4 linked regions of the Nothobranchius furzeri genome follow. The protein of the gene in region 4 purifies or fractionates together with the protein of the main gene of each other region. This does not show direct contact. Links are inferred from orthologs where the notes say so. Each region holds a gene or a part of one and is shown on either strand. Other genes may lie near its edges.

Region 1 (8,261 bases), on a different chromosome or scaffold from region 4:
GGCCGGTGTCCAGCATGTTTTAGTTTCAACCCTGCTTCGACACACCTGATTTCAATCAGCAGGTGATTAACAGGCTTCTGCAGAGCTTGTAGAACAGGTGAATCAACCGCTGAATCAGAAGTGTTGGAGCAAAGAGATGCAGGATACCGGCCCTCGAGGACCAGGGTTCCCCACTCCTGATTTAGACAAATCCACTCATTTGTTGTGCTTGTGTGGCTGTGCAGATGGACGTGGGACAGAAGGACAGGTTACTTCAGCAGCTCAAATACAAGCTTGAAGAAAGTCAGAAAACCCAGGTAGTGGTTCAGCATCACTAAGAAACTATCAAGCTAAAATGCTGACTCCATTTTGTTACTGAGGATTATTTCTGGGTGTTTGCTGACAGACGGAGTTACAAAGAGAGCTGCAGCAGAAGCACAGCCTGCTGCAGGACCTCATGAGTAGAAATCTGCCAGAGGTAGGAGTTTGTGTGCCGGCTCTTTGTGTTTGTCACAAATCCACGTTTCTATCACACCTCTCCCTTCTTCCTCCGTGTTTCCTCCTTCTGGTCAGATCCCAAACAGCCCTGAAAACAATGGATATTCCTACTCTGGGAATCCAGCTCCTCCTGTGTCGGGTGTAAGTCGAGTTTGCTCAGAACTGTTTAGGTTTTATTTCTGCTTCATGAAACGTGACTTGTTTAAAAATTTACAGCTCAGATTCTGTTTTTGTGCCTCAGCAGCAGGCAGAGGAGGTTCAGCTGCTCCGAGATGCTCTGAGGAGTCTGAGGAACAACTTCAGTGATCAGGACCCCCAGCAGCACACGCTGGACACTCTGGAGCAGGGAATAGTGTCCCTCATGGACAGGCTGCGTGTCCTGCATACAAACAGGGTGGGGGATGCTTTACTCATCTGAGTCTGAACAAACTAACAGTAAAATGGGTCCTGACCTGCTGAATGATCACGCTCATGTGTGCAGGGAAGAGGGAAATCCCCACGACGCAAAGGTCAACACACAGATCTGGACTCCTGGCCTTCCACCAGTAAGAGACATGTCCCAGTTCCACATCAGACTATGCACTGGTTATTTGGGCCTTTTCTAAGGGAGATGTTTGTGTTCTCGGTTTCAGATAGTCGTCAGTCTCACAGTAACCCACCTCCTTCCACTAAAATCCTGTACTTTACTGGTAAATCTCCGACACCCTCCATGATCCATGTATCCAAGAGGTGAGTCTGGTCGTCTCAGACACACCAGCACCGCGTTCTTAACGTCAGAATTCAGATTTGTAAGATGTTAGAGGAGAGGGATTTTCCTCTGCTCAGGCTTGGTGAGGTGACGCTCAGAGATGTGAAGGCAGCTGTTGATCGAGAGGGAAACTACAGATATCATTTCAAAGCTCTAGACCCGGAGTTTGGCACGGTGAAAGAGGAGGTAAGGAACAGCTGGGGTTTTTCAGCCACAGCAGGGTTTCACTGGACTCTCAGTGGGATGAGTCTGGTTCTGTGCTGCAGCAGATCTAAACATTCACACTATGTGAAGTCATTGCTTTGTTTATCAAGGTGTTTCTGGATGGAGCAGTCGTTCCAGGCTGGGAGGGAAAAATCGTGGCCTGGCTGGAAGAGGATGGTGGCGAGGAGAGGTAACAGGATGTCACGTCTGAGGGTTTCCTTTAATTATGTTAGCTCTGGTTTAAAACAAGCTTGTTTTCTCTTTCTGTTTTAGGCCGCTGTAGGTGTACAGCCATGATGTGTCATCGATCAGCTGTTCATCACCCAGAGACAACCACCAGAGCTGTTCGCCCTGCTGATGCCTGAACTCAGGCCGTAACTGTAGCAGTAGTGTTGTGGTTCAGGCTGTTAGCTCCGGGAGGTGAGACAGAAAGTCTCTCTGTGTTTGGTGTCGTGCACCAGCGAGGCCTCGTAGACCCCAGATTCAGTCGTGTAGTCTGGTACAATGGTGCATCAGAATCAGCAGCATTAGCCACTTATTCATTAAAGATTAGGAACAGATGTTCTGATAGAGGTGTTAGTGCGAGGTTGAGTCTACACGAGTGCATGACCTGAATCCAGACACTTTTCTGTTTATAGTTTTAGTTTAATGTAGGCTGAAAAGAGCATCTGCTGTCAACAGAACTAAGGTCTAAATGTATTTTAGGCTCGTCTGTGTTTTGATGTCATTGTAAAAACAAAAGCATCACTTCTTTTGGATTAACTTCAGGGTTTGTTTTATGATTTTATCCACAATTTTATTATTTGAAGAAATGAAAATATTTGTTATTTGTTCAAATAGAGATTATTAGTTGAAACCTTCATTTGGTTTTTGTTGGGTGCAATTTTTAATGTTTTGAGGAGCCTTGTTTTGTAATCAGCTTATTTATGGTTTGTATTTGAGTCTTTATGCATGGGCGTGGCACCCTTGGGGGATGTGGGGGATTCAACACCCACTTTTCTTATTGAGATCGTTCAACACCCACACTTTTCCAGCCGTTTTGCCCACCTCCACACACCAGTCTGGTTTCTCTACTTCGCACTCACTCTGCCTCATCTCATTCTCCCCCTCCCTCTCCTGTTTCTCCTTGAAACCCGACATTGGCAGAAACCTTCTAACAATGGTAGTTTTTGCATCTTCACTGTTCCCCGCTTCAGGATATGAGCCGACATGAATGATCGCCTGTTAAATTTGTTTTTGAGGTGGTGACACTTTGAGAATTTTACTGTGGCCGTGCTCAGGACGCATCTGTCTGGAGCGCATCAACGATCAGAGCTCTGCACCTCTCAGGTCAAAATAATCCCTGGAGAGGCCACATGAATAATGTAATATAAGTAGAACCCGGATCGTTATTGGCTCCCCCTGAAGCTCCCTAGCTCACCCGTAATGCGAATCCTCTGTATAGCACAAGTTTGTCGCGTGAGTTGCCAGATCCTAGCAGACAGTTGCTGGAACGGTTGTTTCAAAATAAGATAGTTCCTGGATCTTGTTCCGGCAAGACCCGGCTCAAATTAAGCACTGATTGGTGAATATTTAGCATGTTTTTGGAAGGGCTTTGTTACTGTGAATTATGCGCGGACCCGTTACTGGATTGGGGTTGAGTTTCAATTTACAGCTGATGACATCCACAGACAACATCCCCCACACTTTTGAAAAGCTTGCAATGCGCCTGTCTTTGTGAGTTGAAATGTTTGAAAAAACATCAGATCTTTTCCTGTCTTTTTCCAGTTTAGGTCAACGTGAGCCAACACAAAGAGAGGAGATGTGATGAGAATGTTTTTAATGCCGCAACTGCCTGTACTGTAAATATAGAGTTTACGAGATGGTGTTTTTGCACTTATGTTGTTAAAAGATTTTTTCTTTAGCAAAACATGGATACTGTCTGATTAAAACATGTTGAAGAAATCGTTTTGAGGAATGTTAGATATTTTGAAATAAAACAGATTTTTTTTCATAGCAGTCTTATGTTTCTGGTTTCCATCGCTGTATTTTCATCAGTAGATATATTTTAGATTTGTCTGATTAAATGATATTGATATTGCTTATTTGGTCACAACTCAATATGTTTTCTAATGTGTTTAATAAATAAGATGTTTTACAGTCGTAGACCTTGCTTTGTTTTGGTTATAAAAACCAGGTCAGTTATTAAAATTAAAGTTTTAATGTAAAGAATTCTCAAAATGAACTGGAAGTAGTAGAGTTGCTGGGTTATGCTTGTTTTTACTGCCCCCGTGTGGCAATTGAGGATATTACACCGTTTGACCTTGTAGATCTAAAATATTTTAAAGTTTAAATAAACAAAATTTGTAATCTGCTTTAATATTTCACAACTAGCACTGTTTGTTTATAATCATGGCTTCGTGTGAAATGTATCTTGTTTCATTTGAAGTGTCTTTTTTTACGACACTTGATTTGAAGCAGCGACAGGAGTGCCGTAAAGCGTGTGTTTTTGACAGGAGGAGGTCATTAGAAAGTGAGGAGTAAAGTCGGAGCGCCGGGTTTTTACTGCCAGCTCGTCTCTAATGCCGCTGTGAGGCAGGTAAATTATTTATCAGACAGGTGTTCGATTCCACACGCAGCAGAATGCTTCGTTTAATGCTGCGGCTCCGGCCGTGTCCCGGTGTCTCCCGTTCCCGTGTCCTACCGGCTGGGCCTGCTGCCTTCGGCTCTCTCTCCGTGTCCGGAACCGGGTGTCTCAGGCGTCTTCACAGCGGACACCGAACAGTGGCCCTGGGCTTCAGCCACAGAACGACCTTTGTGCGGTGTCCCCGCCCGGCTGGCGGCGGCCAAAGCAAGCGTCTCTACAGTCTGCCGCCGCACCAGAAGGTAACGTTAACCGCTGTCCGGTTCTGGCACCGGGTCAGAGCCGGTACCGATAGATTTAAAACACCTGTACACCTAACAGCAGCACTTAGCTCCATAACGAGGCGGTGGCGGTGTAATGTGTCCATTAGTAGCTAAAGGATGAAACATCAGATGTTTCAAACTCTAAATAATTCTAAACATGTGCTGCAGCAGCAGACCTGCTGCTGTTTCCATCAGAACATCTCCACCAGCAGATAGATCCCGCTGGTGTTTATATCCAGGAAGGATGTCTGAAATCTGCTCTTTAGGGGCGGTGATGATGCTCACACTAATAATAGAAAAACAAGGACAAACTAAAGATTCTCAGCATTAAAACTCTGTGAATCAGATCCAGACGCTATATTCATAAATATTCATGAGATTTGACCATAAACTACTTTAAAATGGCCTGAAAGGAAAGAAACAACCAAAAGGAGAAGCTTAAAGAACAGGATGGGTGTTCGCCCAGATGAATAACAGTGATCAGGAGTTATCAATTTCCCTCTGGGATTAATAAAGTATTTTTGAATTTGAATTGAATTTGAAACACAGATCTCGTTTATTTATTTATTGTATTACTTACATTTCCTGGTGATTTTACTTTGAACATGTAGACAATGTTTTTACATTTTAGGTTTTAGCCGTTAAACTAAATAAATAACTATTTTCTTATAATTGAAGTAATGAGATTTTGGTTGAATTGGTTGAATGAATGACTGAAAAAACAAAACGTTTCTTTGTCTAAATGCAGGAATCATTTCTTTAACTACTACTTTAACTGTTCTTATTTGTTTTATTACATGTTTATTCTGTTCTTAACAAACACCTATGATGCATGCATTTATTGCAGAAAGATGCTCAGATTGTCGTCAGAATCTACTTTACATTTCACTGTTATTCAAAAAGAATAGATCAGATTTTTATGTTGACGTTTTCAAAAAGCTTCTGTTCACAACAGTTAGACGAGTTGTTTTAAAACAGCTTACTAACAAAAATGAGAACTTTATCAGGTAAAAATGAGATTCTGGTTCTGCTGATATAAGTTTGGGCCAATTTTGATTTATCTCAAGAAGCTGTAATTAGAAAAAGACTTCAACAATCTGCTGAAGCTGAAAACACGATCCATCCACGCTACACATACATTTAAAGGAGTGGGTCCTGGTTGATCCCTGATTTTGTGTTCCTGGATTGTTGCATACTTATTTGGGAACCCTCCGCTGGGAGCTGCTGCTTATCTCTGCTATTGGATGTCTCTTGACCCAGAGCAGTGACCATAAAGTCCACCCAGATGTGAGGAAATCAGGCCTGTGGGTCATTCATTAAGCTGGGATGGGGTGACACTGCAGCTGCGCTCACATCACCTGACATTCGGCTGGATTGGGATCCTCCTGTTATGAAGCGTATTTTTGTTTGTTTTTACCTGGATTTGTTTCCGGCTCATCAGGTGGAGCTTCCGGCGCTCTCGCCTACTATGCAGACCGGGACCATTGCTCGCTGGGAGAAGAAGGAAGGGGAAAAGATCAGTGAGGGCGACCTCATCGCTGAGGTTAGGAGCTCTGTGGATCATAGATAACTGAAATATCATCACGATTTGTTGAGTAAATAAAGTGTGTGTGTGTAGGTGGAGACTGATAAAGCCACTGTAGGGTTCGAGATGCTGGAGGAGTGCTATCTGGCTAAGATCCTGGTTCCTGAAGGCACCAGAGACGTCGTCGTTGGATCAGTCATCTGCATCACCGTCGACAGGTCGGTATCTTTATCATTTACATCGTTTAGATCTATGTGTGGTGAATTAAAGTTATAATATTAATAATAATTAATATGTTTTCATCTGCAGCCCAGATCTAATCACAGCCTTTAAAGATGTAACGTTGGACTCCATCAGATCTGCTGGTGCTACTCCTGCTGCTGCTACCTCTGGTGCTCCTCCTCCATCAGCTGCTGCTGCTCCTCCAGCAGCACCAGGCAGCTCCTACCCCCCCCACATGAAGGTAGGCTGGTTGTGATGGGAGCTCTGGTGGCATAAAAGAGCTGAGGGATTCTTACAGCAGCTTGAATTCCTCGAAAATGAAAGCAGAGACCCCCCCCCCCCCCCCCCCCCCCCACACACACACACGTTTATGACTGTGGATGGATTTGCTTCCATAAAAATAAAAGTTCCACCACATCGACTGGATAGCAGACAGTAACCTCTCTGATGAACCACTTGACTGATTTTAGTGAAACTGTCATCAGAGGGTCGTCTACAACTGATTTACTTTTGGAGTCAGTCCAGTTCAAGATGGCTGCCACTAGACCAAAATGGGTTTTTCCATTCCCGATACCGATGCTGATGTAGAGGTCATGGTTATTTTATGAGCTGCAGATTTTGGGGGCTGATATCTGGATGTTTTCCACCTTCTCAGCCTGCTTAAAGGTCACTGATACCAACAACTGATGCTAGGGCTGGACAATATAACTCGATAGACATGTGGTGCGATAGAAAGAAATGGGTCAATCAAAACGTCGATTTCTTTTTTTTCATGTAGCCTGAGCCTATCAGGTTGCTTAATACTAGACTCCCAACCAATCAACAACACCGATCCAGGCACGCTCTGTCACCAGGCCCTCCCCTCTCAAGCCCAGACAGACAGCATGTGGTTCTTGAGTCTCACTGAGAGAGAGTCGTAAGCAGCATCCTTCATATCAGAAGGCTCCAAAAGCAATACTGCTCACACACATCTTTGCTTAATGAGAAAATTTGTAGTTTTTTCCGGTATTCTCTGAAAATATCCATCAAATGTTGTTTAACACAATGCCCAGTTGTTGAAAAACATTTGCGGCTTCATAACATATCACCATAAAAATCTGGTCTAAAATACACGGTAGCGGGTCTAAGTCTCTGGGCGATGCCATATTAGATGCCTCGTTTACTTCTACGGCAGCCTGTGAGGACAAAACGTATTTATTGATTTGTAACAAACGGTTGCAAAACGTTCACCATTCATAAATGTTGTTTTACACATTTACTTTTTCACTCGTTACCAGTGATGAAAGGGGGTCTGATGTGCTTGTCATTCTGCTGGAAGTTATGCTCCTAGGCATGGATGTAGTTTTGGGCTGGGGACATGTCCCCCCACCTTTTCCAAAGTCACTTTTTGTCATCTGCACTTTTTACTGTCCAAAAACAATATAACGCTATAGGGAGCCTAAGTCTCCTCCCTTTCCGGTCGGCTCACGGGTCCCCGGAAGAACGAAAAAATGACTGCAAGTCAACGGGGCTAAAAACGCTATTTTCTAATCTGCCTTGCCTTACGCCCTGGATCACACACACACACACGTTGTACTGCAGTTTAAATGAAAAGTAATGATGGGTGTTTCTGAAACACTGTTTCAACTATGCCAGTCACCTACTTTGAGATTCATCAGCTTGTAAAAGTTTATAATTATTGTAGCGTAGGCAAATCGATGATTTTTATTTGTTATGACCAGGAAGCTAAATAGACACTGGGTGAGCACTAGGACCAAGCGGAAAACAACTGCTTGTGGTGAAGCCTGTTTCCTATTAGAACCGTCCATAAGCTCAGCTATTGGCTCTGCTGATACTTGCTAACATGTGATTGGCCGTTCCTGCCACCTGTGTACTTGACAGTTCTGCATTCTTGACATTGCATAAAAGAGCCTCTAGACTAGTTTTATACATATGTTTTGTATACTTACTATAAAGACACCACCACCCCACCACCCGTCCTCATGCCAGTTGTGTCCCCTACATCTAAAGTCAAAATTACGTCCATGCTTCCAGGAATTTTTGACCCTAAAGGCCATCCATTAGTAAGGTTTTACTCAAACACATAAATACTGCTTACTTGCAATGATTTAGGTATGTACTTCCCCCTATTGCCAGGGAAAATACACACAGTCACTTTAAATAAAGAAAGACGGCACAGACTTCTCTGCGTATCTTTTG
Region 2 (6,965 bases), on a different chromosome or scaffold from region 4:
ATGCCAAAGGTCTCTTGAAATCCGCTATCAGAGATGATAATCCAGGTGAGACCAAACAGCAGGATGAGAGACAAATTTAAGTCCAGTTTTAGGGTTTCTCAACCGCTTACACACGCGCGCACAGTTAAACCTCCTCCACATTTTACCACGGTGTACGGTGTTACCATGAGTAATTAAAAATTATAATGCAAGACTCAAGTGGCATTAACAAACAGTTGGGTTGGACCTTGACCCTTCAGAAACTGAATCTCAGATACTGTCTAAGGCACGGGTGTCAAATATGCGGCCCGCGGGCCGGATCCGGCCCGCAAGCGGGTTAAATCCGGCCCGCGAGACGGTTGTGTAAACTTTATTTTCATACTTTACAATGTAGAGTGAAAATAAACTTGTCATTGTGAGCAAGTTTTCTCTGTAATGAGTATAAATAAAACAAAGCTGCGCTCAAGGCTCACACAAGAACTTGAATCACATCCTGAAGTTGGCTGCCACTCAGGATGACTGGCATCCTGAGTGGCAATATTGATGTGCTGGTGAAAGCTAAAAGATGTAAAGTAAAATGAGTCAAATATTCTTTAAGTGCTGCATGGAACTGATCTTGCCATGTGATCTGTAAGCTCTTTGAATCACTAAGGAATGTTTATTTGTTGATTTTTTTATTTTCTATTTTTTCAAATTTTCAAGTACACTTCAGGTGTTGTACTTGTACTACACTGTCCTCAGGCTACAGCCTCGTTTTATATTGATTGTATTAAAACAAAGAAAACAATCTGAAGTTTTTTTTTTTTTTTTTTTAATTTACCGGTCCGGCCCACTTGGGACTAGATATCCCTCAATGTGGCCCCTGAGCTCAAATGAGTTTGACACCCCTGGTCTAAGGAGCTTTGAAAGAAAAGCGTCTGGACTTCTTTGAGTTGCTTGAAGACGTTTCACCTCTCATCCGAGAGGCTTCTTCAGTTCTAAGGTCAAATGGTGGAGAGTCCCAGATTCAAACCCAGTGGGAGTTTCCCCCCAAAGAGGGAACAAAAGACCCCCTGATGATCTTCTATCCGCACTGTCACATGATGACATGATGATCATAAACTTTATGGAACGCCTCCAAAAGTTTTTTTTTTACTATGTGAAGTGCTTTGAGACGACTTTTGTCGTGATTTGGGGCTATATAAATAAATTTAAGTGAAACTGAAAATGTAACATCTGTTTTACATATTAAATGACTTTTTAAAATTTTCATTTTTGTCTCATAAGTGCACTACATTGTTTTCATGACAGCATTGACAGAGCTATTCAGCAACTGTATACGCTATTACCATAGTACCACCAAAGAATATTGCACGTGCACATGCACTGTGTAATTACAACCTAAGAACGTCCTCAGGTGAGAACTTTTTCTGTTGCAGTTGTGTTTCTGGAGAACGAGCTGATGTACGGCGTTCCTTTCGAGATGTCTGAGGATTCGCAGTCCAAAGACTTCACCATTCCCATCGGCAAGGCAAAAATTGAGAGACAAGGTGAGAGTGATGTCCTCTTTCCTGTGGAGACCAAAAGCTAATTTATTTTCTCAGCGGTTGTAAAAGCAGTGAGCAGGAAAAGTGAAGAAATCTCAGTGAGGCTTCAGGCTCCGAGACCTCTTAGCATCCTCGCTGACTGTCGGTGTTCTTTCACCAGGAAATCACGTCACCTTGGTGTCTCACTCTCGGTTTGTCGGTCACTGCCTGGATGCTGCAGCTGTCCTCGCTAAAGAGGGAATTGAGTGTGAGGTAGACAAACACAGTTGTAAGGTCATCTTCAAGTCACCTCTTCAGCCTGTTAGCGACTTCCTCCATCTCTTGGTTTCAGGTCATCAACCTTCGGACCATTCGCCCAATGGACGTGGAGTCCATTGAGACCAGCGTGATGAAGACCAACCACCTGGTGACGGTGGAGGGAGGCTGGCCTCAGTTTGGAGTCGGAGCTGAGATCTGTGCCAGAGTCATGGAAGGTAGTGAACCGATACACTATTTGTAGTATTAGTATACATTATCAGTAATAGAAGTAGTAGTAGAAGAGCGCGGACCGTTTTGCTGCCGTGCATTGTTTAGGCATTGTGTGCTGGGCGCTTCCCTTTTGTGCATCTGTGTGTGTGTGTGGAGGGGGGGGGGGTCTCGTATGCATGGCACCGCGCCACGCTGAGCCTATGTAGGGGAAACACTGCGATGTGAAACCTCAACTGGTGACTCGTTGGATTTAGAACCCATTTGCAGATTTGGAGACCCTTGTACACAGGGTTCCTGTGGGGACTTAAAACGCCCTAAAAGCATTTAATTTAGGAATTTGGAAAGAATATCTTTAAAAGTCTTTAAAAAGTCTTGAATTTTGACAACTGGGCCTTAAAATTTGTATGTAAATATTGTATTTCTCCTCTTATGTTTCGTTTCTCAACCAAAATCATTTTTATTAAATAATGTAGCATATATAAGGAGTGGCGGAACCAATCATTGAGAACGCAGCTCAGCCTCGTGTCAAAGTATTCTAAACGCGTGATGTATTCAGCTCCCGCGCTACAGCAGCGATACTAAATGGTTAACATAACACAGACCTCCAGCAGAGGAGGAATGCAGAAAATCTCAGCAGACCAGTAGAAAGGCTGACTGACGCCTAGGGCTGGGTGCCAGAACGCTGGACCTCTTTGGGACTGAGTGAAAACATTCGGTAGGTACCGATATCAGAACAAAGTATAAAGCTGTCCCAATGTGCAACCGTGGGTCACATGACTGATCCCAAGTCACATTACAAGTGGTGGAGACGCGTCTCCTTTTAACAGCGCTTCTCTGCAGTTCGAAAAAGCTAAAAATCCATTCTAAATGCAACACCAGTGAGATTTGTGCTGCAAAAATTAGGAATAGTAGCAATTTAACAAATCACATCATCGTGCAGGGCATCATGGAGAGCTTTGACCGCAAAAAAGTAAACCCTTGTCCATCACCTTCCAAAACACAGGAGGAGTCTGAGGATGGAGGCTGATAAAAGCAGAAACGGGACATAAAACCAACTTAGCTGCTGTTTAGCAGCATTATAAATGCAGTTCAGCAGGTTGTTATTACTGCTGTTACTGACATGAAGTCAAGCAAGAGTAAAGACTGTTCTATAGGCAAGGCAAGGCAGCTTTATTTGTAGAGCACATTTCAAACACAGAGGCAACTCAATGTGCTATACAATTACCAGGACATGATATGAAAACAACATAAAAACACAAATTAAAATACACACAGATAGACTTACAGTTTAGAGCTAAAGGAGAAAACAAAGCTACATCACAGATTACAGAGGAGACGATGCCGCATAAGAAACAATTCATGTAAAGGCTGATGAGTACATTAGGGTTTTTAGTTTTGTTTTAAACAACACTAGGGTTGCGGCACATCTGAGGTCATGGGGAAGCTGATTGCGTATTTGTGCAGCATAGTAACTAAATGCATCTCCACCATGTTTGGTTCTGACCCGAGGTTCTACCAGCTGATTGTTTCCAAGGGATCTCAGAGCCCTATTGGGTGTATATACAGGAATGAGATGGGACGTGTATTCTGGTCCCATGCCATTGAGTGATTCATAAACTAGTGGGAGCACTTTAAAATCTATTCTGTGGTTTACTGGTAACCAGTGTAGGGATCTAAGAACAGGAGTGATGTGCCCCGTTCTCTTAGTTCTTGTTAAGACTCTAGCAGCAGCATTCTGAACAAGCTGCTGTTGTTTCACAGCTTTTTTGGAAGACCAGTTAGGAGACCATTGCAATAGTCCAGCCGACTAGAAATAAAAGCATGAATAAGTTTCTCTTAGTCTGGTCTGGACATGAGACCTCTGACTCTTGATGTTAGATGGTGATAAAACACTGATTTAGTTATGGCCTTAATATGTCCAGAGAAGCTCGGGTCTGAGTCAATAATAACACATTGAAGCGTGATTAATGATTTACATTATCACTACATATTAATTATGACCAATAAGATGTGATATTCCATACAAATATGAAATATCAACTTGACTGATCTTTAATGTTTAATCAGAAGATTCTAGGGTTCTTTGCTTCTTCAGGGACCATAAACACACTTTGTATTACTTCAGACAGAGTCAGTATATAGTTTATAAAATGAATTATTTTACTAAACTAATGATTATACATGACAAGATATGAATAATGAGATGTGGTGTGATGGAAGCTAGATGTTCAGCAACCGTTCTTTGTATCTGAGAGAAGTTGTCTGGGTTGTAAAAGAATTTGTTGTTAGAGGGTTGTTTGTTTATAAACTAGAGAGTTGTTTGTTTATAAACTAGAGAGTTGTTTGTTTAAGCTCATCAGACGTAATCTGTGCCAGTCTACACACCCTTGGTGTGGAGGTTCTCGTTCGATCCAGGGGGTCGTGCTGGTCACTGCTGATGGAGTGGACCTCTGATATCAGGAACCTGTAGACAGCTCTGATAGGACCCGTCCAGTCTGAAGCCAGGAAGGTGGAATGCTCATTTGTGTCCAAGGTGGATGTCTGAGAGTTGAAGTAGCTTGCTGCGTCGCAGAAAGGTTTTGACTAAAGGTCAAAGGAGATTGTTTCAAAAAATGCTTCTTTCCCGATTTGGTCGAATTGGGAGTCAGCTGGAAACTGAATCTTAATCGGGAAGTAATTCTTGTTTATTAAACCACTTTGGCTAAACTTGGCCAAAACTCATTACAATCAGAATTTGACACGTTTCTGAGTATTTACCAACATCCCTCAGAAAGCCATGCCCTCCTCAGATACACAAGGTTTTAACCTTAATGAGTATCTTATTGTAATGGTGTATGAGTGTAAACAATGATTAACTTGTTAAATCAACTCATACTGATTTGTGATATAAATGGATCGTTGTCAGAACATTTTATTGATTTAAGCACAGATTATTCAAACATTTGATGTAAACATCTTGTTTATTCATCACATATGATTATTTAAGCTTATAACTGTAAAGTCATGGAGTCTTCGAGTAGGTTTGATCTGTATTTAAGATGAGGAATCAGCAGTCTGGCTTCTACGCAGAGAGTGCAGGACCTTGGGTGAAGCGAGGAACAAAAAGTTGGCAAAGGGTTGTTTTGGGTCCCGACTGATGGTGCAGCCTTGAATGTATATGAAAGTTTATGTTGTGTCAATTAGATGGTGAAAAATAGACCCTTTTGTACGTTCCAGCCTTTACTGTTTGCACTGTAGCTTTCTCTGTTGTTGCTTAACTTTTTTGGAAATAAAGTATAATATAAATAAATGTAATACAAACGATAAAAATAAAACCATTAAGTAGTTTGTTATCCTCTCATAAAATAAAAAAATTGATTTCAACAAAAGTATTGTTAAGGTACTGCCATCAAAAACCAGGTTAAAGTAGTAGCATCTAGAAATATCTACTGGCACCCAGCCCTACTGACGCGGTCATGTTAAACCTTTGTTTTACGTTACCTAGCTACTCTTTCTGTGAAAGCTCAAACAGCTCTGCTGCTGTTCTCTACCGAGTGCTTTGGCAAAATGTAATAAAAATAAATTAACACAAGTTCAACGATATTTTTTTGCCGGTAGGGCTTTGAAATAGGTATAACTTTTTATATAAGTGGTCTTGAAAAGGTCTTAAAAACTCTTGACTTTAACTTGATGAAACCTGTAGGAGCCCTGTGTATACACACACACACACACACACACACACACACACACACACGTGCTTCAAAATATATTGCGATATAGCCTTTAAGCCATATGGCCCATTCCTAATGGATTATCACTAAGGAGCGCCAGTGTTTACAAACACTAACTCCTCTAAACGCATCAATCAGTGACGTATGCGGAACACACTTCTTCGCTGATTAGATGAGACTTCTGTTTTTATGATTTATGACAAAACTGCTTAACAAACTGAAAAACAGAAATTGGTCAGCAAATTGTAAACACACCCACTTTCTACTCTTGCTTCGCCCACTAGCCTACCAGCAACCATGACGTCTCATTTTCGGCCCTGGCTCACTGTGCTCAGAACCACGTTTAAGCTGCTACTGAACAGTCAACACCGCCCGCGTGGCTGTTACTGATGGAAAAGCCGTCCAAGCGGACCAGATCAATTTGAGTGGTGCTAAATAAGTCACTGATGTTATCCAGGCTGTAGTCGGAAGAAGTTGTGGTCATGTACTTGCAAACTGTTTGTCAGTTGAGAAAATAAACTTTTCCTTTTTTTTAGGTTCTGCTTTTAACTTCCTGGATGCTCCGGTTACCAGGGTAACGGGTGTCGACATCCCCATGCCTTATGCCAAGATCCTAGAGGATCACAGTCTTCCTCAGGTCAAAGACATCATCTTCTCAGTCAAAAAAACCCTCAACGTGTAAAAACACCTGAACTCTCTGGGTTTTATTCAGATCAGCTGATCTCTCCACTTTTTCCCTTTCAAAATAAATGCTGCTGTGTTCTGTGTGGAAGTTGCTAAGTCAGCAAGTTAAAACCTGTATAAGTCAAAAATGTCTTCACCAGCTGTCTCTTGATGTTTAAATCCAGATTAATGTTCTGAGGTTGTTTTCCTTCAAACATTTCTGCAATTTCGACAGCATCAACAGAAAACGGCTGCTGGGATCCCATTATTTATTGTAACTACAGAAATAAAAGCCTGTTTATCTTTAGGTTTTCTTCCTCTTTGCAGCCTGTTCCTCTTCCTGTCGGTCTAAATAAAGATAAAAACTGTAAACTCTTCTGCTCTTTATTTTGCATCAACAAGTCATAAAGCATCAGTATAATAAAAATCACGAGCCGCTTTAAAAGAACAAATTTAAAAGAAAGATTAGAAAATTATTAAACATTAAGATGATGCAAATAAAAATTTGTGATTAAAAATTATGAAGAAAGGAAAAGGGAAAATGAATAAGAAAGGTAATCAGTGGATCCTGGGAAAGGCAGAATAAGGAAAGGGTAGTGATGAAGGTCACACCAAAAGC
Region 3 (7,589 bases), on a different chromosome or scaffold from region 4:
CTACAAGGACAGTAGCAGGAATTCAGCAGCGACGCCACGCAAACTAAGCGACGAGAGCCCGGACACGGATTTTCCATCCTCGTGGGATGAGACTCAGCAGCGACTGGAAAGCTGCGGCACTCACTCGTACATCGAAGAGACTGGATGCTTGCAGAACACGCGCTCTGCAGCATCGTTTTACACCAAGCTAGATCAGCTAACTCTGCTTTCTGGGCTCACAAGGACACAGCTCACCACCCACATCCATCCACCAGCTCCTAGTTTGTGTTTGCACTCCAGTGAAACTCAGGAAAAGCCTGCTCTTCCTCTCCCTTGCACTCGAGTAAGTCAGGCTCTTGATGTCATGTCAGAATTCCATAAAAAGAACGTGGGAATGGGGCTGATAGAGTGCAGTTCGGACTTTGAAGCAGCTTGGAAAGCTGCAGATCCATCACACAGCTGTGAGAAAACGAACCCCTATGCAGCGTTGGACAATAACTTATCAAAAATTGTTGAAGCAACTACAAATCAGACACCTCTCAATAAAACAGGATCTCCTGCAGGTCAAAATGAGGTTCTGGGTTCCTCTCCTGCCATTTTACACCTTCCTCTCCATTGCCAAACCCAAATCCATGGCAGGGCATCATGGGATACTAATGGCTCCCATAAGGGACCTTTTTTAAATTGTACCTCTGCAGAAATAAATACAGACTCAAAGCAGGACTGCAGCAGTCCAACAGTTGAGGAAAAAAATGGGATGATAGTTATCAGGAGCACAGACAGAGCTGTGTTTTCTGACCACACGGATACAGACACCACCTCAGAAAGATCTTGGACTTCCTCTGCTTACCTTCACCCCTCGAGTGCAACTACACAGGGGGCGCTCTCAGGAGTCTCACTGGGCCACACTGGGGTCATTTATAAAAGCGAAACAAGTTCCAATAGAAGAAAAGAGAGCATAGAAGTGGCCTGCGAAGTTCTGAGTCCCGGAGACAAGAAGTCGACTCTAAAAGAGAGATCATACGTAGGCTGGTTCTCCTCTGGCTCTCTTCAAGACACATCCCACGGGAGCAGAAAGGATTCAGTGGGTTCCCTTAAACCAGAAGGATCAGATAGGAATGCAGATGATCAGATTATTGAGGTGGATGGCTGGTGTCATCTGCCGCAGTTTCCTGCAAAGACACCCCGACCTGGAGATAATTCCATGCAGACCTACTGGGGGCTTCCAGAAGCAGAGGTGCGTGTGTGGGGGGCACAGATCCTGCTAGCTCTGGAGAGTCTGCACCAGCAAGGCATCCTGTGTCGGGATCTCAACCCTAGAAACATTCTGCTCACCAGCAACGGTGAGAGAAGCAAATAAATGTTCAAGGATTTTACAAATACGAGTGTTTTTGAGTTTAACTTGACATGTTTTCACAGGAAAAGTGTGTTTGACGTTTTTCAGCCAATGGAGCGAAGTTCAGTCAGAGATCAGCAGCAAAGCCATGGAAAAGATGTACTGTGCTCCAGGTAGTGACACCCTAGTGCCACCTAGTGGTGAGATGCAATTAGCTCACGACCGCCACATAAAGAGCATTGAACATTAAACTTTCAATGCTTTTTGAGCAGAAACATGATTAATTTCTTTTTGTGGCAGAAATTGGGGGCGTGTCCAAGATCACAGAAGCTTGTGATTGGTGGAGTCTTGGAGCTTTGCTCTTTGAACTTCTTACAGGAATGGTAAGATATTTAGGCCAGTAGGTTTTATATTCTGTATCACGGCAAACTACAGTAAAGGGAATATATATGTATATTTGTATTGCTTCAGCCGCTGTGGCAGCTCCATCCTGCAGGAATCCACTCCCATACTCAGCTGGTGATCCCCGACCACCTGAGTGCTGCAGCTGCATCTCTGCTCACCGAGGTTAGCCATCAGTATCCAAACAGGGGTCTGTAACCATGCTTCAATTCTGAACCTTTTCACCTTGCAGCTGCTCCAGTTTGATGCTGGCTACCGCTTGGGTTCAGGAGGTGGAGGTGTGAGTGACATCAAGTGTCACCCATTCTTCAGCAGCGTCTCATGGAAGGCTCTGTCTTGCTAGCACAAGTTGGGACTTGCAGATAAACTCTCTGCTGGAAGCATCTGACCTGCCAGAAGGAATGTAGCAGACCTCAGCTGCACTTTGTGCTTTCCATAGAAAACTACGAAAGTTGAATAAAAGTAAAGACACATCCATAAATCTAACATGAATCATGGATTTATTCAATTCATGCAATAAAAAATAAGGTAATTTTACCAGCTTTAGATTTGTTCCTGAAGCAAGAATCTGCCTCAAACTAAAGAAAATATGTTCATCTTATTTTAATGAGTTGCTCTGTAAATACAGGTAGATTTGCTAAGCACTTCTAAACCTTCTGTGTGTTTATGTAGATGCTCAACTAGTTTTTTTTTTGTAGACTTGCTAAAAAAAATTTACTAACGTGAAAAAATAAGCATCCAAACAAAAACTACAGTTGGGTAATGAAGCTTTTATTGTTTAAAACGTTGCTTTTCTCTCTTGAATACTTTAACTCACACAGCAAGAAGTTTTCCTCATCCTCCACAAACCAGATGGCATAAAATCTGAGGATTTCTTCACTCTGGAGACTTTAAAACAGCATTTCTAGTTTTCCAACCCAATATGTGCTCATTGTTCTTTTCTCAACCAGAATCATAAAATTATATCGCTGAAACTTTAATTGCGTGTCATCTCACAACAGGTGTTTCTTTTCTCAAGCTTCGCGTAGAAAATGACAAATGCAAATAAGTTATAGAATTTCTTGTTTGATCCAACGACCAGCACCAGAAACCTCAGAGAGACCCAGAACAGGACCAAACCTTTAATCCTTGCCAGTCTTACAAATGTCCATTGCACAACCCAACTGTTGCCAGAAATAGATTTTCCTAGTTAACCAATAAGACGATACATCAACTGTAGTTATGGTAATGTTCATTGAGTGTTTACACAGCCGCTGTTGGTGTGGGAAGTGGTTTGGTTGGGCCCGGAGCAGACGAGGGTTCACATGTCAAGGAGGAGCACTCTGGGGTCCTCCACCACCGACTTGATCTTACGTAGGAAGGTGACAGCCTCTCTTCCATCGATCAGACGGTGGTCGTATGTTAGCGCAACATACATCATGGGACGGATCTCCACCTAGGAGGAAGAAAAGTAATCACTGAAAAATGACCAATAATTATTTGCTAAATTTGTAAACATATGCAACATTTAAATGTGACCCCCCCCCGTTTACTTGAGAATGTAGCCTGGTTGCTCATAAATAATGGAGTAAAACCTACAGTTGTTTAAAAGCAGACACGTTTCAGCAAATGACCAGAGGATACAAACCTTGCCTCCGACTGCAACCGGTCTGTCAAAGATCCCGTGCATGCCCAGAATAGCAGACTGTGGAGGGTTGATTATCGGTGTGCCGAACAAGGACCCAAACACACCACCGTTGCTGATGGTGAAGGTGCCTCCGTCCATGTCTTCAACAGCCAGCTCATTCTTACGAGCCTAAAAACAACATCCAGACCCAGTTATGCAAACATTTCATCACTTTTCATGCAAACGTGTACAATTTAAACAATTTTAATACGATAATCACCTTTTCTCCCAACAAATTGATTGCTTTCTCGATGTCAGTAAAGTTCATCCCCTCTACATTTCTTATGACGGGAACCACCAAACCCTGGAAAAAGAGAACATAGCCGAACGTTCTAGCTCTTTGTTTTTCCTTTCAGTGAAATCCACTTTTCTTACCTTCGGTGTAGCTACAGCCACACTGATGTCGACATAGTCCCTGTACACAATCTCTTTGGTTGTATCATCAATCACTACAAACACAGAAAATAGGATTATTATGATTTAACTTCTCCAGATTAGACTATTAATCACCACTATATTTCTGGCAAGATCAAGTTCTTTCCTTGTGAACCGCTTTCTGTCACATGCAAAGCTAAGAGTTGTGGTAAGTGAACCCACAGGGCATTTCAGATCTTTAAAAGGCATCAGCATGCACCACCCTAGCTTCACTGTGGTCTACCTAAATAGGTCAGAGTGGTCTAGAGCAGTGGTTCCCAACCTTTTTCCCAAGGGACCCGTTTTTTACCAGTAAAATTGTTGACGACCCCCTCCCATTCTCTCTTCCAATAAACGTTTGACACATAAAAAATACACTGAGCAAAATGTACTTAAATGTGTATATTACTGTTTTAGGGCTGAAACGATTCCTCGAGTACCTCGAATAATTCGAGTACAAAAAATCCTCGAGTCAAATTCTCTGCCTCGAGGATTCGTTTAATTCATATTTAATTAATTTGTGGCTTTGCAGTCGCCCGTGGTCATGTTTCACCCAGACTGAAATAAGTGACGCACATGCCCACTGGACTGCACACGCGAGTAGCGAATGTAACTTAACTTTCTCTTAAGCCATGGCGGACAACGTGGACCCCGGTGGAGTGCGAAAAAGACAGAAAATGTCAAGATGTGGGACCATTTTTCACGTCGTTAGGCGGAAAACGTACTCCAGTGTAAATACTGTAAAATGGATTAAGCCTACCACAACACCACATCCTCCATGCTGCAGCACCTGTAAATGTCTCTTCTGCAAGCGGACTCGGAGCCTCTACAAGATAATGCATTTTAGCCTGTTTTTCTATATATTCTGTGGACACTGTGCGACTTTTTCGTTTGTAGCAGTCAGTTTCAGCTCACACCGTACGTCTGGTAGCAACACGTCGGACTTAAAATGTGCTAAAAATAGCAGTTTTTACACAAAACGTCGGACTTTTTATTGTGTTATTGATGTTTGTTGTCCTTCGGGATTGCTGCAGGAGGACATGGGTATTTATGAGAGGAAAACGAAAGAAAGTAAATAAATGTTTTGTGATCAGTATAATTTGACAAAACCACGGCAAACACGCTTTCTCGACAATCCTTGTTATTGTGTGAGAAAAAAGTGTTGAAATTAAAACGAACGTGTGTTAATAGGGAACAGCCGGCGAGCTGTTTGCGCATGCACCGTGAGCGGTTCTGGTTCTGTTTGGGCCGCAGCCGCTCGCAGCGCTACTTCAACAGTTATCCTCCTAGTTTTTGTCTGGCTTGCAGGCTAGCAGATTCTCGCACGAGGGGAAAATCGGCTCAGGTTGTGTACTTATTTTTTGCACAGCCATTTGTTTACTGTGAAGTAAAGTTGAAGTGCTGAAGTTTTGAAAACTAATTTTGAATAAAACTTGAAGAATAACTGGCAATAGCTTGCTCATTTTAAGAGGTCTTTCATATTTTATAACATGCTATTTGATAAAATGGTTTACAAATACAAAAGGGTAATTTATTAGAGTACTCGATTAATCGAAAAAAATATTCGATAGAGTACTCGATTACAAAAATATTCGATAGCTGCAGCCCTATACTGTTTATACTAGATTATTTACTGTAAAGGCTGTGATTAATCAACCAGTCCTATCTTTAATGAACTTTTGACACTTGAAAATAAAACAGTGAGCTGAGCAAAATGTTCTTAAAAGTGTGTTACTTTTTCTGTACTAATTATTTCCTGTCTTAATATCAGTAAACTTTTCACTCATTAAAAAAAATGTGAGCAAAATGTGGGCTATAAACAAGTAATAAATGACGTTTTAACCCCTTAAAGTGGAGAGGCCCTGGCGACCCACTGAGAGGCTTTGGCGCCCCCTTGTGGGGGTGGGGACCCCCAGGTTAGGAACCACTGGTCTAGAGGAAGTAAATAAGTTAGAGATGGCTTTGAGGTTGCTGAAATTAAAAAATAATACATTGAAACTTTCTTCACTACACACACACTTGACGTGACTTGACGCCACACATGCAGACGTTCCAAAACTAACACCAACATGTTGAAGGTTTCCAGAGGTAAAATCTTTACCGGCATTGACAGCAGGTTGGTCTGTCAGAGCGTACGCAGCAGCCTTTACGAATGCGGACATGAAGCCCAGCTTGATGTTGTGTTTTTTTAGGAAAGCATCCTTGTACACCTTTCTCATCTCCGTGATGTTGCTGCAGGAATAAAAGCAGGAAAACACAGAAATCCATCAACACTTTTCAAACGCTTTAAACAGGAAGAAACAACGAGCTGAAATTATTCTCTTGAGAAAAATATTTTTGTTAACTATGAAATCACGGCTCTACAGCTATAGTGGGGGAATAGAGCTATTAAAAACGGTTGCTAATTGTTTCAGTATTGCTCATTCTTCACTTGTATCTCTCTTTTTAATTGTTTGTTTTCCTGTCTCTAACCCTGTTGAAGTTCTAGGGTTTCTCCGCTAACGGAATTAGCCCCTCCCAAGACACAGACTCTCCGAGAAAGGAGAGAAGAAGCGATAAAAATCTTCACTTTCTAGAGCCTGTAAATCTTATTGGGCTGTCATAAAAGCCCATATCGGTTGAGGCAGCTCTTCCACTCAGAGCGCGGGTCTCTGTGGGCCTCCGCAGATGCTCCGGCCTCCTGTTCTGACCAGTTCCTTCGGCTCCAGATGAGCCCTAGACTGGGAAGTCTTCCTCCAGACCGTCAATGTCAATCCAATTAGGATGCACAGAAAACCCTGAATAGCTGAAAGCCGACACCACACATTTGCAGGGAAAAGAAATCCTCAAAGTGTCCTCTTCAGCACAGGGTGGCAAGTGCACACAATAACATTTCCTTGTAAATTAATAAAACCTGTTTTAACAAATCTTATCTTTGTTTTAGATGGAATTATGACCAAATATTTACATTCCAGTGTTTAAGAGGATATTGGGTTTCAAAAAGCTTTTCCTATTGGGAAGATTCCAATCTATAACCATTTGTGGGAGTGTTGTTAAGCCTTTTAACAGGAGCTGGAAGTGGTACTCGTCCTGGAATCTTGTTTGCAGCAAAAATACATACATTTTCTAAAAGAATTAGACTCTTTACACTCAGTGTGTGTGTTCCACTTATGTGTTTATGGTGAAATCAGCATATTATTGTATTAAAAAAAGCAGCACGGAGGGTTTAAATAGGTAGGCAAGTAGGTCAGTTAAGTGAGAATTTCCCACCTCATGTCGACCTCATTAAACGTAGTGAGCATGGCACAGGTGTTCTGGGCTTCCTTCAGCCTCTGGGCAATTCTTAGTCTCATGCGGTTCATCTTAACCTAAACACACACGTTATTAGCCACATTAAATATTTCACAACTTTTTTTTTGCATGAACGTGTCATTAAATCAGTTTAAACATTAAATTTACCCTGCTCTCTGTCCTCGCTGATTTAGCCCCTCCTTCTGCCTGAGCTGATGGTGCAGTCTGAGCAGCAGTGGGCTTAATGGCTGACACTTTGGGAAAGAGAGATTTAAAAAAGCTCTCAGTGTGGCTGAAACAGCAACGAAACACTGTTTACAGAATCCCAAACAATGATTAATTGTTAACGTTAGAGGTCAAGAACACAGATGTCAAGCTAATCAGTTTTCACGAGACCCAAGCTGTCTGGTGGATGACTACTAACCTGGTTTGGTGTCCATAGCATGTGCGGGCACAGGTGGCACAGGGGGCATGGTGGTGGGAATGGGGCCCACAGCTGAGGGGGGAGGTGGGGGTGGTGTT
Region 4 (8,056 bases):
ACAGGGCAACGCCACCACCCCTTTTATTTATTCTATTTACAAAATGAAGTTCATACCCTTCTATTTGTACTTCAGTCATCCCTTCATCATAAAGCCAAGTCTCAGTAATGGCAATGACTTTGAATTAACTTTTAAATTTACCTAAATAATCCTTTATTGTTGACATCTTGGAAACTAAACTTCTACTGTTTATGTGTATGATTGATAATGAATCATTGTTAATTATCCCACTATTTAGAGGATCTTCTGCATAATAATTACTATTTATATTTAACTCAAAAAAACTTTCATCTATTTTACTGTGAAGTTCATATATTTTCTCATGGGAATCCATTTATTCTTTATGAATTCATTTGTACTTCCATATCCATAGTTAAACTGATTCCACTATCCATTATTTAGCCAGTGCTACACAATAAATCATCTTTTACCCTGGAACACTTCTAGATCTTTCAACTCTTTGATCATTTTTGCATTTAGACCTTCTTGCTCTCTACAACACCATTTCTCGTCCATGTGGCTGTGATTTTTTTCTGTTTTCTCAGCACCCTTGCTTCTTTGGCTATTGTTTCATTCTTTTTCGTCAGGTGTTCATTTATGTACACATTTGTACCTTTCAGTTTTTTTTTTGCTTGCCTCAACAACTCATTTCTGTACTTCCTACTGGTAAATCGCACTATGATGACTGGTTTTAAGGCGACTGCCTTTCTTGGAAGGGTATGACAGATTGATATTGCTTCACTTTGGATATTAATGTTCTAACTGTGCAAGAAGCTCAACACTTGTTGTTCTAGTGACTGGAGTTCTTCCTGCGGAGCATCCTCAGTAGTATTTCCATCTCCAGTAACTCTGGCATAAGTCCTATGTCTTGTTTCCAAACCAGTTATCACCAAGTCTTCCCTTCTGGTATACTGCTCCAGTTCATCCACCCTCTGTTCCAATACATGATCTTCTTGTCCCTTTCTGCAAGCTTGAATTTCAGTGTCTTGACCTCGTCCATTAATGATAGTAGTTGATCCTGTTGTACTGTTAGCTTAGACAGCTCGGCTGACATAAAATTAAATGCTTTTTTAAAATTTCCTCCATATCTTCCTCGAGTTTCTCCGTTTTTCTAGGAGGGACCATTGTATTAGGCTTACCTCTCTCTCGGCCCTGGTTGCCGGTGAATCTGGAGCCTGGAGCCCCAGGCTGAGCCTGATGGTTGGATCAGGTGGCTGGTATTGAGGTGATGGTGGAGCCTGGCTGCTGGGCCTGGAGGCTGCTGGGCCTGGAGGTTGCAGGGCCTGGAGTCTGCTGGGCCTGGAGGCTACTGGTGTAGTAGGCAGGCTGCTTTGCCTGGAGGCTGATGGTGGAGCCTGGCTGCTGGGCCTGGAGGCTGCTGGTGGAGCCTGGCTTCTGGGCCTGGAGGCTGATGGTGGAGCCTGGCTGCTAGGCCTGGAGGCTGATGGTGGAGCCTGGCTGCTGGGCCTGGAGGCTGCTGGTGGAGCCAGGCTGCTGGGCCTGGAGGCTGATGGTGGAGCCTGGCTGCTGGACCTGGAGGCTACTGGTATAGCCAGGCTGCTAGGCCTGGAGGCTGATGGTGGAGCCTGGCTGCTGGGCCTGGAGGCTGATGGTGGAGCCTGGCTGCTGGGCCCGGAGGTTGCTGGTGGAGCCTGGCTGCTGGGCCTGGAGGCTGCTGGTGGAGCCTGAACCTGAGCAAAAACAAGACAACGGTCATTGAAAGCTTCTCCGGATCACTAGATGGTTAACCAACCATAGATATAAGCGTCGTGGTCAGCAGAGATAGAGGTAGACCAACAAAGGCTGGAGATTCTCCTTGTTCTCCGCACCGACTGCTGTCCGCCGAAATGCCCAAAAGTGAGTGGGAGCATGTTAACAGGCCGTTAGCATGTGTGTCTTACAACCATTATTAAGAAAACACATAGACGTAGTAGATTAATACAAAAGCATAGCTTATAGCGTATTATATTAACGCAACATGTAATGTTTTATTTAGGCGATACGAGGCTCTGTTGGCTTATATTAGCGATCCAGCTTTCGCTTCATTCAGCTCATTTGACAGTTTATCTTAGTTTCAGCTTACTTCAGCTATTCAACAACTTCAGCAATCAGTTACCAAATTTAGCATAAACTGCTAATTTCACAGTTCAGCTAAATGTAAAGATTAAATTGTTAAACTTGTCCAACTGGAATAACAGGTTTTAAGACATTTTAGCTGTTCAGATTTTTATACGATGTTCACAGATTTCAGTTTTTTGCTATTTAACATTATTTTTCTCTATTCTTCACTTACTTTTTGTGCTTTATTTGCTTGTTTGTGCTTTTTGCTTCTACATCTTTCAAGACATTCAGCTCATTTTGACAGTTTTGCTTTGTTTCAGCTTCAGTTCAGCTGTTCAGCAGCTTCAGCTTACAGTTTCAGCTCTCCAGCATTCAAACAGCATTTGTGCAATAAATGCAAATTTTTCTAGTTGAGGCTTGTTTTGTTGCCATAGTTGATGGCCAATAAAGTTTTCTACAAAAGGAGCTTGGACGCCTACTGCGCATGCGCATTACCAGGAGTCCTTGGCTGCTTGCTCTACTCTAGGTTACTTAGCCGGTCAGAGACACAAACACACAAAATGCAAAGCTGGACGCAGCTTTATCGCTCGGTGACCACGGTAAGGATGATAATTATTACTACGTTAGGCTCCACGTGTTGTCATTAAAGATGTCAGGCTGGTTTCAGTCGCTAAGGGTGTGTGAGTGGTATTTTCGTACTCGAGCTATGCTAGCTGACGTGCTAGCTGCTCAGTTAACTGAAGTTGTATGTAGAACATTTATCTCAGTATATTCCGCTGGGAAAGTTCATATCACACCGCTGTTGTACTACGTGGCTTAATGTGCCATTTGATACGTTCTCAATTTGCACATTGTGTGTGAGTCAAATCTAGTGTAGGTGGAAATCACAAATGTCAATGAAATCAGGACTTTTGTAATACTTTTCGATCACCATGTGCAATTCATTAACAGTAGAGTATGTCTCTGTGATGTATCACGTTTAAATCTAACTGTATGTTTAACATTTTGTGTTTGTTTCACGTCTGACTTGTTTCCTCACTGTTTTAGCATGCTAAGACTGCTAGCTCCGGTTCCCATGTAGCCTACATGAAGGACCTATTATCTGTCCTTGTTATTCTTTATAGTATTCGCTTTTCAGAAGCATTTTTGCTTTAGGAACTAAACAGTGCTGTCGTTGGTAGAGCCCTCTGCATGTTTAGCAAGGGTAAATATTCTGTAAAGAAAACATTTGAAGGTTTAAACAGGGAATTAAAACCCACATAGTTTATCAGTTTGTTTTGGTGTTTCATCAATAATGCTTGTGTGATTTGCTTCCCAGCTGAACCACCAGCTCCCCTACAAGCTGCACGGAGCTGCTACTGTGTCCGTCCGAACTTTTGCTGACAAAGCAGCAAGTAAGAAATCCTGGAAGTTTGATCATTGAAACCATGAAATCTTGTTTCATTCTATTAGTTTAAATATAACACAAGTCCTCATCAAAGTTTTTTGTCCCAGACAGACAAGGCACTTTCACTGTGATGTTCAGACCCACTTTAAATGACTGTTGTTTCTAAAACACACAAACTTCAGACAGATGACCATGGGATCATGCTTTCCCTACTAATATGAATTCATATTAAAGCTAAAGTACATTCAGTAGATATAATTTTGAGATTTCAAACCAGGCATTTACAACATGTTCTTTGGCAGTCGGCCTCCTGGCAGCAGCTGCTCATGAAATGGTTCAGATGGTCAGTGAGAGGGTGATTGTTGGTCTGTATGAAGCAGGGTTGGGGCCCAACACATGGAACCACATACCGGTACATCAGGCCGTGATTAGGGCCCAGATCTGATATTCCAGGTCATTTTGGGACGTTTCTAAGTGACGTAAGGCCTGGGGTCATAATTGTTTTATTTTCTGTTTCCCCTAGAATAAAATGCCACATTTTTTTAAACATAAAGTCCTAACAATGAGAGTATTGTTGCCATCTCATTGCAATAAGTAAAGTCTCTAGTAGGGATGTCCCGATACAACTTTCACTTTCAATACGATACTGATATTGCAGCCTTCAGTATTGACCGATACCGATATCAATCTGATACGATATCAGCACAAATCATACAGACTTTGACCTGTGTCATAGTGTAGAATGTATGAAAGGCTGGATCAAGTGATGGTACTCAATCGGAGAGCCAATAACAGTATTTTTTTCTTAACCATTGGTTGCAAAAATGTGAACTTTAACAGACTGCTTATATCGGAGATTTTTGATGCCGCGCGACATAATCCGATAGTGTTTATGGGCCGCTATCAAATTACTTCCGATATCGATATCATAATGGGACTTCCCTAGTCTCTGGAGTCCCTCTGTCAGACTGCTTCTCTCGTTTCTTTAGAAGTTTTCCCCGACAGCGGAGTACATCTTAGCCCCAGATCCATCCATGTTGTCGTAAATCCCAGGGTGTGTGTTCTGTGTTTCTGCTGTTGTGAGTGAGGTTTTGGTGTGTTTCCTTTGTAGTTGATGCAGACGTCACAGTGGTCGGCTCTGGTCCCGGAGGATATGTCGCTGCCATCAAAGCTGCACAGCTTGGTTTTAAGGTGAGTTTCCTCTGTGACACAAACACGGGAGTACCCGACCTGCTGCTACTTCTATCCAGTGAACCTTGAATCCGCAGAAACTGGTTTCTAAAATGAATACGGGTTTTCTAACAATTGGATTTCCTTTGGCAGACAGTTTGTGTTGAGAAAAATGCAACACTGGGTGGGACGTGTCTAAATGTTGGCTGCATCCCCTCAAAGGTAAAGAGCTGGTGTCTGTGTTGATCAGGAAGTTAAGCTTGTTTAGACTCATTTAGTTAGACTTTATGAAGTAAAATCCTTGGATTGATTAAATGTTTTGTTTTCTGTAGGCTCTGCTCAACAACTCCTACTTGTACCACATGGCACACGGCAAGGACTTTGAAAGCAGAGGCATCGAAAGTAAGACGGGACGATGTTCTTGACACACGTTTTACATTTTATGAGGCTTTGCAGGCTCGACCGGGTTCCACAGCAGTTTTCAGACACACGTGAAAACTGAACAGGCGCAACCCAACTGGCTACAGAGCTCTCAAACCTCACAGACCAAGTGAGACGTGCATCTTCCTGAATACTTCTGCAGCCAAGTGATGGCTCGTTCATACGGGGCACTAGGGGGCCGTCCATCCTGAGCTGAAGGCAGAAGAAGTTAAAGCACTGCATCACACTCCGATGCTTTACTTTTGTGTTTGTTCATTTTAAAGGCTCAAGCATGGAAGTCTAAAAACTCAAAAGATAAATGAACCAAACCAGAACTGGTTTCTATTGAACTATAATGTACAATACAGTGTATGCTCCCCAAGTGGTGAGCTTTGTGCTCTATGTTCTTTGTCCCCCAGTAGGTGGTGCCGGTGTAAAACCCACGCCGGTAGCCCAGAGAACACGAGACTCTGTAAAGCACGGGTGTCAAACTCAGGCCCTCGGGCCAAAGTTGACCTGTGATCTGTTTTTATTTGGCCTGTGAGATCAAATATATATTAAAACCATTTTGCCACAAAGACCACAAATCTCATTGTGCTTTGCAGCGTTAGCGAGGCAGTAGAAGCGCCCCCTCCTTTCTGTTTACGATCATTAGCATCCGTGCTACTAGAATCCGCGTCTGCAGCGATGCCATCCTCGGCCTCAAACAAGCTGATAATACTCCTCAAATCGCCGAGTTTACTCTGCAGTTTGCTGACTTTTAAGTCCAGAAATTGAGATTTCAGCCGCTCCGCAGTCCGTCCACAGCTGACATGGAAAGCTCACCAACCCGGCCTTAGCTGCTCAGGTTCTCTATGTTCAGCAGCACTTATCTCCGTGAGCAACTGTTGTCTGTGAGGAAGATGAACAAAAGTCTCACTGATGAACTCCTTCTTAGCTTAGAGTCCAACCCCACAGGTGCAGGTCTGGCTGGAACAGGTGAGCATCGCAGTAAATCAGAGTGGATTAGTTAGTTTTCATGCACTTTTTCTGCTCCAAAGCATGAAAGTTAATGAGATATTTTCATTTAAGAGAATTGCTATTTTTTTGGTTTTTGTTGTTGGCCTGTAAAAAAAGATGAAGCCTACTCTAAAACAGGAAGTGGAAAGGCCACAGATAGAAGAGTAGAATAGAAACAGAACAGCAGCAATAACATTCATTACAGGAGCAGAAAAGGAGAGTAAAAAATAAGAATAAAGAGTAAACAACAAGAAAACAGAAACTAAAAGATTCAAAAGGTAAAAATGTAATAAATGCTGAATAAACACATTTGAAGGAATAAAAAGTTTTAAAAAATCGAGACATAAGTAACGACTGATGTGTTTAAGATTCACTTGCTCGTGTGTAATTTAGTCGTACCAGATTCAGTGTTTATGTAAAAATAAGTTTGTTTCCAAATGAGACGGTTCAACAACACACATCTGTAGATGAAGGAACATGTGCACATTTCTCGTCACTTTTCAATAAATGTTGAGTTTGGCCCGCTACTTCGTCCCAGTTTCTCGTTTAAGCCCAGTGTGAATTTGAGTTTGACACCCCTGCAGAGGATGCACACAGGAGGTAGCAGAGGTGGAACTGCTGGCTCAGCCGTGGAGTAACTGCTGATGTCCTCCTCTCAGTCTCAGGCATATCGTTGAACTTGGAGAAGATGATGGCTCAGAAGAGCGGCGCCGTGAAAGCTCTGACCGGAGGAATTGCTCATCTGTTCAAACAGAACAAAGTCAGACTCTGGTTTGATTTTATGTAACGCATCAATAATAAACAACACTATCAGGTGTTTTGATTGACATACCTCCTGTGATGGGGTTCTCATCAGGTCACCCATGTGAACGGCTTTGGAAGGTTAACCGGAAAGAACCAGGTCACCGCCACGGCGGCCGACGGCTCTGAGCAGGTCATCAACACTAAGAACATCCTCCTTGCCACTGGCTCTGAGGTCACTCCCTTCCCTGGCATCCAGGTACCACGTCTTCTGAATCATTTGTGTCAGAGGCTTCAGCTCCCGCTTTATAAAAACGGGAAACATTATGTCTCACCAGATAGACGAGGACACGGTTGTGTCGTCCACAGGAGCGCTGTCCCTGAAGAGAGTCCCAGAGGAGATGATTGTGATCGGCGCGGGTGTGATTGGAGTGGAGCTGGTCAGCATCACTTTAGTGTCTGAAACTCTCCGAGCCTCCCATCATGCCGTGCTGCTCGCGGGGCTGAAAACATTCATAGCTTTATTTGAATAATTCTGTTAAGATAAATCTGAGTGCAGCTTTTGCTGAACAGCTGCTGTTGCACATTTATTCCCGAGTACTTGATAAGTAAATGAACTATTTATTAAAATTCTACATTACTGAAGTATTTAGTTACTACAGCCCTACTGAGAGTCTCTGGAACAGCAGACTTTTGTGTCCTGCAGGGGTCGGTGTGGCAGCGTCTGGGCTCTAAGGTCACAGCCGTGGAGTTCCTGGGCCACGTGGGTGGCGTAGGCATTGACATGGAAATCTCCAAGAACTTCCAGCGCATCCTACAGAAGCAAGGGCTCAAGTTCAAGCTGGGCACCAAAGTTCTAGGAGCTACCAAGAGGCCAGATGGCAAGATCGATGTGGCGTGAGTCTGCTGACTGCAGAGTCTGGATAACGTTGTGAAGTTATGGATCATAAAGTATTGGCGGTGCTCTTTCAGGATGGAGGCTGCAGCTGGGGGGAAGAACGAGACTCTGACATGTGACGTTCTGCTGGTTTGCATCGGCAGACGACCGTTCACCCAGAACCTGGGTCTGGAGACCATCGGCATCGAGCTGGACAACAGGGGCCGGATACCCGTCAACGGTCGCTTCCAGACCAAAGTACCCAGGTGAGTCCAGCCCGGTCTGATTTCACCAGATTTACCTAAATGAAACTTCACACGTTAAACTAGGGCTGCTGCTCCATCACGGCAAAACTGATCCCAATTGTTAAGCTTGAAGTTGAGATCTCGATTATCACGATC

The links.
Region 1: the proteins of dldh (region 4) and dlat purify together in Homo sapiens (affinity purification with mass spectrometry; 4 studies listed by BioGRID and IntAct, counting the BioPlex papers as one, with this or other methods). This does not show direct contact. The link is inferred for Nothobranchius furzeri from reciprocal best matches to the Homo sapiens genes DLD and DLAT.
Region 2: the proteins of dldh (region 4) and pdhb purify together in Homo sapiens (affinity purification with mass spectrometry; 3 studies listed by BioGRID and IntAct, counting the BioPlex papers as one, with this or other methods). This does not show direct contact. The link is inferred for Nothobranchius furzeri from reciprocal best matches to the Homo sapiens genes DLD and PDHB.
Region 3: the proteins of dldh (region 4) and dlst purify together in Homo sapiens (affinity purification with mass spectrometry; 3 studies listed by BioGRID and IntAct, counting the BioPlex papers as one, with this or other methods). This does not show direct contact. The link is inferred for Nothobranchius furzeri from reciprocal best matches to the Homo sapiens genes DLD and DLST.

What each region holds. Positions count from the first base shown.
Region 1 is NC_091750.1:45,046,785-45,055,045, forward strand, and holds the start of dlat (dihydrolipoyllysine-residue acetyltransferase component of pyruvate dehydrogenase complex, mitochondrial), read left to right. Parts: upstream 1-3,903; 5' UTR 3,904-4,051; coding exon 4,052-4,294; intron 4,295-5,756; coding exon 5,757-5,858; intron 5,859-5,933; coding exon 5,934-6,058; intron 6,059-6,149; coding exon 6,150-6,303; intron 6,304-8,261. Other genes in the region: dixdc1b (dixin), read left to right, coding at 225-296, 386-457, 553-618, 719-871, 959-1,022, 1,110-1,206, 1,303-1,411, 1,540-1,619 and 1 more.
Region 2 is NC_091743.1:78,887,815-78,894,779, reverse strand, and holds the end of pdhb (pyruvate dehydrogenase E1 component subunit beta, mitochondrial), read left to right. Parts: coding exon 1-45; intron 46-1,397; coding exon 1,398-1,508; intron 1,509-1,665; coding exon 1,666-1,757; intron 1,758-1,836; coding exon 1,837-1,978; intron 1,979-6,219; coding exon 6,220-6,365; 3' UTR 6,366-6,718; downstream 6,719-6,965. UniProt on the Homo sapiens protein: The pyruvate dehydrogenase complex catalyzes the overall conversion of pyruvate to acetyl-CoA and CO(2), and thereby links the glycolytic pathway to the tricarboxylic cycle.
Region 3 is NC_091758.1:32,792,628-32,800,216, reverse strand, and holds the end of dlst (dihydrolipoyllysine-residue succinyltransferase component of 2-oxoglutarate dehydrogenase complex, mitochondrial), read right to left. Parts: coding exon 7,492-7,589; intron 7,322-7,491; coding exon 7,236-7,321; intron 7,145-7,235; coding exon 7,047-7,144; intron 6,030-7,046; coding exon 5,899-6,029; intron 3,833-5,898; coding exon 3,759-3,832; intron 3,688-3,758; coding exon 3,604-3,687; intron 3,513-3,603; coding exon 3,345-3,512; intron 3,153-3,344; coding exon 3,018-3,152; 3' UTR 2,468-3,017; downstream 1-2,467. Other genes in the region: rps6kl1 (ribosomal protein S6 kinase-like 1), read left to right, coding at 1-1,322, 1,399-1,488, 1,616-1,698, 1,787-1,882, 1,950-2,060. UniProt on the Homo sapiens protein: Dihydrolipoamide succinyltransferase (E2) component of the 2-oxoglutarate dehydrogenase complex. The 2-oxoglutarate dehydrogenase complex catalyzes the overall conversion of 2-oxoglutarate to succinyl-CoA and CO(2).
Region 4 is NC_091754.1:40,921,443-40,929,498, reverse strand, and holds the start of dldh (dihydrolipoyl dehydrogenase, mitochondrial), read left to right. Parts: upstream 1-2,509; 5' UTR 2,510-2,621; coding exon 2,622-2,660; intron 2,661-3,379; coding exon 3,380-3,455; intron 3,456-4,559; coding exon 4,560-4,639; intron 4,640-4,771; coding exon 4,772-4,840; intron 4,841-4,950; coding exon 4,951-5,020; intron 5,021-6,696; coding exon 6,697-6,797; intron 6,798-6,893; coding exon 6,894-7,037; intron 7,038-7,116; coding exon 7,117-7,218; intron 7,219-7,484; coding exon 7,485-7,675; intron 7,676-7,750; coding exon 7,751-7,921; intron 7,922-8,056. UniProt on the Homo sapiens protein: Lipoamide dehydrogenase is a component of the glycine cleavage system as well as an E3 component of three alpha-ketoacid dehydrogenase complexes (pyruvate-, alpha-ketoglutarate-, and branched-chain amino acid-dehydrogenase complex).